2 linked regions of the Saccharomyces cerevisiae S288C genome follow. The gene in region 1 interacts genetically with each later gene. Each region holds a gene or a part of one and is shown on either strand. Other genes may lie near its edges.

Region 1 (4,077 bases):
AACTTGACAAAAGATCTGAACAGGATCAATGTTTACTTCAGATTGCTTCCTAATTCCATTGATTCCCCATTCTATCAGTAGCTGTAAACTGAATGTTCTTTTTATCGTGCATGTCTTGAAACTATACAACCTATTGCCGCGATGTCTATAGTCTTCTTCATTAAATACCAACTTTCTTAAAATGGGGTGATCCTTTAACCGTAATTCACATTCAAACATAGAACCATCAAAATTTTCTCGTATTTCGTTTAAGTCCAAAAGAGGTTTATTGGATTTGAGCTGATTCAAATCAATCTCGATTAGCTTCAAAGAAGAGTAATTGCCGTTCGCTATTCCCTGAGATAAATATGTTGTAGTCTCTAGCAAGTTCAGTTGTAGTTTAAGTGGGGTAATTTGCATTTTGCTCAAACTTGCTATATTCCCCTCCATGACTACATAGACCTTGTCAAAATTTTGGCTGCCAGACCTAAACAAGTAGTCTTTCCTGTATATTTGCTTCAAATCTCGACTTCTAACCTCTATTCTCATATTGCTTTCCCCATCAGGCAACCCCATTTTATAAGTAGATGGGAAAACTTTCATACCATTTACTAGGCGAGTAGATTGTCTTGTTGATGTGACTGATGATACCGGTCTCGATCTAATGTCGCCGTTTTCTATCAATATAGAATTAGCTTGAGAAAAGTTCCTGTCACTTTTTATATATCCGACTCCATTAACGACTTTGACGTCCTTTGATGGCACCTTTAAATTTGAACTATTGAAAAATTCATTGTTGGTGACCATACTATTTCCTCTACTATTGTTACTGAAGGCATTAAGTTCTTCATTGTCATCTTCATCAGGTTCTATAATAAGATCTTTTGGCTCAGGTATAAATTCGAACGTCTCGATTTCCCTTATCAGTTTATGGAATGGCTTAAACCAAGATGAAGATTTCCCTAGCTCTAATTGAACTTGCACCATATATATAACTTTTCCAAAAGAGTAAAAATACAAATCCAGATTATCGATTTTATTAAATTCTTGCCAATGACTATTGAACGTAGGTGGGAGTCGGGCATTACTTCTTGTCACAAACGCTACTGTCTTTGCCGTATGATTTTTCAGACATTCAGGCTTTCTGGGAAACTTGTCAAATTGAAAGCTATAATTATATGAACCTGGTTTAACTTTGAACGGCTTGGAGGAGCCATCAAGAGCATTCCATACATTATCTGGAGGGAAAACTCTCTGTTCGAATTTCATTAATGTATGAAAGGATTTGTTGTCTTGGCCCGGCATCATCATGCCATTCTGTTGAAACATGTACTCTTGATCAATTTTTGTTAAGGTCTCTGAGAATCCTTTTAGAATGACGGAAATTTTCCTTATAGATAGCGCTTTTGTTAACTGAAGACTAACTATCCCTGACATTTGATCATTAGAGCTATAAAACTCCCCGTTGTACGGTGGGTTTAAGGATATTGAAATTTTTGGAGCCATGGTTTGACAAACTGTATGGTTCTCAACCTTCTCTAATCAAAAGCAGAATCTTAAATATAAACACTCACAGAATATCCGTTGGTCAATGAAGTAATTCTCCTTTGTACTGGCTGCTTTTTCTCCTCTAGTTTATGTAATTCTACTTTTGGATGGGTGCGACTGCTTTTAATTGATTGAGTGGCGGTGTTAGAAGGGCTGTAGAGTCGAAGGCTTGTTTCTCTCTTACGCACCTCTTGTGAAAAGGGCGTGCACCTTCCCCAGGACCCTCTCTCACCCTCAACCCGCATTTTGCTGAGAATTTTCACCAAGGCCCTAGGTGATATTAGATTCCACCTGACTAATTGCATTACAGCCGACCCAAGGCAATATCAGTTTAATAAAATATCATGTATCTCACCCTCTTCTTGGTATTAGTAAAGAGACGCCTGATCTTGTAACAGTGGTGAAGATTGTACTAGAGCAGAATCAAGAATTTAAAAAGTGTAAAGGCAAGGCAGAGGCGATGTACATAAAACTTCGAAGTAAGAAATATTTAATAGTTCTCGCCACATCACTATGCAGCTATATAAAAACTACTATAAACGTTTGTTTTGTTCCTTACGCACAATATCCTTGCCTAGAAATCGTTTTTGAAATTTAAATTTTTATTACCATTTATTTGATTCGCCTTCAGAAAAATATGGAAGAGTGCATATTTAAAAAGGACTATTTCAGCATATAGTAAAAGTCAGGTTATTTGTTTATTTGCGATATCAGAGTAACTTAAACTAACTATGCAGGGCACTTTTAAAAGGTTTTACCATCCCACGCTTACGCGGATGTCCTTCTTGGATAAATTCCTCAAGCCTATGATGGCAACGGCTTCCCCAAAGGAATACCAGATCAAACAACTGGTCAAGCCAATAGGCTTAACACAAGCACCAAGGAAAAGCACCAAATACTCCCAGGGGAACTCTTTGAGGGATATGTTTGATTCGGAAAAGACAAACCACAGAGTTAAAGAGTTGGCCGTTGAATTCAGCAAATCTGGACTTTATGACGTGCAAGTCTTCCAAAAGACAAAGGGGAAATTGTTTATAGCTCCAGTTTCATATTGGAAAGAAGATAAAGCTTTGTTTTTTCCTCATTTGATAGGAACGGCAATGGATGGTACGAAACAACAGAATATCGAGGATATGTTAAGGGGTAAAACCAGTATAGTGAGGTTATTTAGTACAGCATCTGGCGATAAGTTGAGTAGTTCATACTTCCAAGGAATCGTAGACGATAACAAAAAAACTGACTACTTGACTGAAGCTGATGCGCGTTTAAGTTTAAATGACAGTAACGTCCAAATCATCGAGGTCAATCTTGTAGAAAACGCTGTGAAAAGTGCTCTAGTGAAAACGCTTGCTCGTTGGGCCAATCGCGTTCCATCCTGGCGCCAGCCATTTTATTTCGAATGTTCTAGAGGCCAATGGCCATTTTCCGTCAGGGAAGAGCTCTTTTGCAATAATGTCTTTTCTGGATACGTCTTTCTTGTGGACCAGCAGTTAAAAATTAGGTGGGCAGCTTGCGGGGAGGCTACTCCATCTGAAAAGGAAGCATTGTGGAAGTTTGCCAAACGTCTGTGAAGTTGACGCTTTGTGCGGCGGCCAACAAGGGATGGGCGGCTATTTGGCGATCGTGTTCATTCCCCAAACTAACACGAAGAGCATGAGAGAGAAAAAACAAAAGTGCTTGAAACAGGTAAGACGTTTATCATTGATATCACCAAAGAAATATATAATGCCGGATTCTATTTTTGAACAGCCCTTTGTTTACTGTGGTGTTTGCCACAGAAGAACATCGCATGGAGATCCATTGAGGCTGACCTCATGTGCTCATATCCTCTGTTCGCAGCATTCTCCATTAACATCAAAGGTGTGTCCTATATGCCGTTCGAGCGATATCTCCATCATTAACCTTGTGGAATCTAAACAGCTGCCTACCGACATTAGGATTTTTTTTGAGCCACTGCCCCCACTTTTGGAGTCGTTATATAATGTTTCCCAATTCCAACTGAATGGGCTTTCGAAACAGTGTCAATACTATCAAAATCATTGTTTAAAGTTGAGAGAAAAATGTGCAAGACAACAGCAGCTGCTATATCAGGCCAAAATAGAGTTGGATTCTATGGCGATTCTTAAGAAAAGAATACAGGAATTAGAGTCAGTTTTGAATCATAACAATGTTTCTTCGATGTCAGTTGGTGTGCTACCAACAAGAAATAGCCATCAAAATCATTACCAGCCCCCTCCAACCGTTGATCTGACAGTTGATGATAATAGTTTAGAAGAATTCGAAGCCAAATCCTTTATTAAAAAGTTGAAAAAAAACTCTTCTTTGAGAAATTCTTCAAAAAATAACAATGGAACTGTCACTCCCTCTACAAGTGGTCGTGTAAATAAAAACCAGCCTCTCTTTATGGAGACATTGAATAATCCTAATAGAAATAGCATTCCTCCTCCTGGAATGAACCCAAACGCAAATAGTAATCTACCTAATATTTCGACTATTGCAGAATCAACCAATCTGAACAGATTTTCGTTCTCTCCTGTGCGTGTTGCAAAA
Region 2 (3,682 bases), on another chromosome or scaffold:
TCTCAATTCAGGGATCTGGAGTTACCAGACATCAACGACGAAACTGACTGTGACATTGTTCCCTTAGATTTCAAAACGTTTTATCAAATTGAAAAAGATGTTATACAGGTGGTAAAAAGTAAAGTTTTGAATATTGAGTAAATAACGCTTGGATAAAACGAAGTAAATATTAGAAACAGTTATATAGAAATTAAATACGGTGACCTGGAAAATTAACAAAGACAGAACAAATGTGAATGAATAATAATAGCAACTTCCAAAAAAAAAAAAGGGGTTACAGGGATCAACAAAAAAAAGCAAGAAAAAAAATGAATAAAGGGAATACCATAAAAACAAATAACATTAAACGGATGAGGGGGTCATAACGGAAGTGTGAATATAACTACAACTTGCTTTGGCAAGTAATATTTTCGGGAAAACAGATGATCATCAAGAGAAGGTCTATCAATTGTGGGCTTAAAACAGATGTGTAGTACACTTTTGTGCCAAAAAGGAGGGGGTTAGTTAGTTAAAGAAGAGGAACTCATGCGAAGTTCGTTGAATTTTTTTTCGAACAAGGAAAATTTGTTGGAAATCTTAGAACATTCGTTATCGGACTCGCAAGAAGTGCTTGTGAACGAAGAATGCAATCCAGTGTCTGTGTCTAGCGTTCCGAAACTGCCACTGCGACTGCCATTATCATCGTCTATCCCTTCTTTGATTCCATCTTCTTCCTCACTTGAAGATGTATAAGATAAATTCTTGGCAGCTTTACTATCGTGCATGTACACGTAGGATTTTGGAGACAAATTCTCATTCGTGTTATCGACGGGGCTAACGAACTTTTCATAAACAGACTTGGAAAGAGGCGGCACTTTTGATAACGGGCCTTCATTGGTGAAGCTTGTAATAGAACTAACTTCTTTCATCAACTCTTGCAAGCTCATTCTATTCTTCGGATTCACTTGTAAAATCTTAGATAATAATGAGTAAAAGTCATCGGAAAGCGGTAGGATTTGCTTTAGTATATTGGGATCCTTAGTGAAATAATAGTAGGTATTATCCTCGGTTTTGTCAGCCTTCAGCCAGGGATTTCTGATGCATGTCAAATTGATAAGGATGATACCTAATGACCACAAATCGCCATTACATGAGGGACAAACCTTACCCAACTTATGTCCCCCACTTTTAGAGCTGGAAACTCTCCCATCAAATGAGATTCTTTCAGGGGGCATATAATACGAGCTACCAATGCAAACATTTGGCTTTATATATGTGGAAGTAGTGGATAGACCAAAATCGCATAGGAAAACGTTATCTTCTGTATCCAGTAGCAAGTTTTCAGGCTTGATGTCACAGTGGTAGATGCCGTGCTCATGGCAATAATTAAGAGCAGAACAGATCTGTAGAAAAACCTTTTTTACTAGCAGTCCATTAGTGACAAAATGTCTGTTATCTACAATAGACGTGAATAGGTCTGTTGGGTAATAATCCATGACAATGAACGTGCAGACTGCAGATTGTAGCACCTCATGTATGGTGACAATGTTCTTATGATGGTGGACTCTTAGGTGTAGCGAAATCTCTTTATAATGGGGCAGCTTTTTAAAATCTTCTTCTGACATATTCTCAATTGATTCTAGATCTATAGAGGGCACCCTGACAACGTTTTTCGATTCCTTGAACAGTTTAGCGAGCTTCTTTTGCAATTTCACGCTATTTTTGTGTATTTTATCATTGCCCATATCAGCCTCCTTGCTAACACCGTAACTTTGAACAACCGCTTTGATAGCGTATTGTCTATCGGTACGAATATCTAAGGCACGGTAAACCAGACCGTACGCGCCTTCGCCAATTTGAGAAGTTATTAAGTAGTTATTAATTCTGCAATTATGGAACATCATCATTACTTTTTTCTTTTTTTTTTTTTTTTCTTTCTCTTATTTTATTTTACTTTAGTATTTCACCTTAGTATATTATCGTACAGTAAATGTTAAGAACTTTTGTAAACGTAACTCATAAAACAAAAAAACAATGGTAGCGCCAACACCAGCAACAAAAAGAGGTAAACAAAAATATAATAGCAGTGACACAAATGTAAAAACGCTGTAAAGCTAATAAATCAAGTCTTTTCTTATAGCACTTGTAAGTATGAATAAATATCAGTGAGTCTTAAGGTGGCAACGGTAAGGGAGGGAGAGAACCAAAGCAGTTTTAAAATTAAAAATAAAAATAAAGGTTTAATAGCACTATAATATGGCACACTAAATTTAATTGAGGTACGTTTTAGGCTCCAGTATAAACAAAAGGGCACCAACGTCAACATGTATAAATAATAATAAATAAATCGGCGAAAACGTTCCAACGTGCGGCCGCTGCTTGGCAAATTAACTGGACGGGGTTAAGTGGCAAGCCGCGCGAATTAGCGGACGCGGACCTAGATACACAAGCGAGGACTGCTAAGTTAGGCCATGTTGGCGGGGGTAGTGGCGGTGGTGGTGGCGGCATCCCTTCCCCACGTTTTGGTCCCTTTAACGTAACTGGTAAAAGTAGGATCGACTACCCCTTTTGGGTTACACTTTGGTATCAGTCATCCATCAGCGGAAAAAATGGACAGCTTTGACTATCCCTATTGTGTACCCGGTTCCGAACTGGTGTTTCCGTACTCACGTGCCGAAAGCTGCGTAATAGTGCATTGGCAGGATATGATGTGATGGATTGTATGGTGTTTCCAGGGCAGGAAGGGAGTAAGAAAAAGGAAGCAAGATGACGATATAGGCGGCGCATTTTCTATCGCTGGTGTTGGGATGCAGAGGATCCGTCGCAGTGTGGTCTTTTTTCGTACGTAGTAGTAAAAGCTATCCCTATTTATGAAGGAGGAGACGGAGAGCGGCAACTTCTTCTTAGTTCTAGAAGTACGTAGTATTTATTTTCTTGGTGTGAATGCGTTTATCTTCCGATGGCGCGTGCGTCTATTGTAGGTTTTCTACCATTTTTTTGACTTTTTCGTCGAACAGGTTAGATCTTATAGGCATTTCCATTGAGTAAGATGGGTCTTTCATGACGTAGTCACTATACAAACAGTAAACCTTCCTTAGGAAGTTGTCGGCTATTTGGATGGCCAAATTGGATGTACTCTTGGGTCGGTCAGGCTTGTCGGTGGTGGCTATAGTTGGCTGTCTCTGGGGCATGACGCTGGAGCTGATAGCGACAAACTTCAGGCCGGTTAGGGTCTGATATATGAACATCGTGAACTGATCCGTGCATAGTTGTCTCAATCCGCTCTTGTTCCAGTTCGTAAATGGTTCTTTGAAAAAATCATCTCCTTTAAAACTGCCCAGTTTTTCATTATTAGTGTGTTTGTTGTTATTGCCACCTCCATTTCTTGTATCGCTCCTATTGCTGGACATGCCCACGTAAGGTATATATGGGATGGTATTTTCGATGTTCGTTTGTTGAGTTAGCTGTAATGCCTTCGGAGTCAGCTGGCTCGCGATGGCGAATACACCGTGCAGTGTACTAGCAAGAATTAAGTATTCATTGCTGTTCAATTTCTGTTCGTCGTTGGTAAAATTCCGCTGATAGATTAGTCCGCCTGATTTGTTTATTACAAGTATTGTTTCGATGGCCATTTCAATTTTTCCCGTTTAAATCCAACACTAAAATTGCACTTTTGAACTTATGCAAAGGCAGATTCCTTTTT

Evidence for each region. A genetic interaction does not mean that the proteins touch.
Region 2: mutations in ATP10 (region 1) and VHS1 together harm fitness more than expected from each alone (negative genetic interaction), as found in Saccharomyces cerevisiae (3 studies listed by BioGRID).

The regions. Positions count from the first base shown.
Region 1 is NC_001144.5:904,821-908,897, forward strand, and holds ATP10 (Atp10p), read left to right. Parts: upstream 1-2,258; coding exon 2,259-3,098; downstream 3,099-4,077. Other genes in the region: ART10 (Art10p), read right to left, coding at 1-1,485; SUMO ligase CST9, read left to right, coding at 3,130-4,077. UniProt on the Saccharomyces cerevisiae protein: Essential for the assembly of the mitochondrial F1-F0 complex.
Region 2 is NC_001136.10:954,217-957,898, reverse strand, and holds VHS1 (putative serine/threonine protein kinase VHS1), read right to left. Parts: upstream 1,887-3,682; coding exon 501-1,886; downstream 1-500. Other genes in the region: YDR248C (gluconokinase), read left to right, coding at 1-141; YDR246W-A (uncharacterized protein), read right to left, coding at 2,566-2,766; TRAPP subunit TRS23, read right to left, coding at 2,952-3,611. UniProt on the Saccharomyces cerevisiae protein: Probable serine/threonine protein kinase involved in the G1-S transition.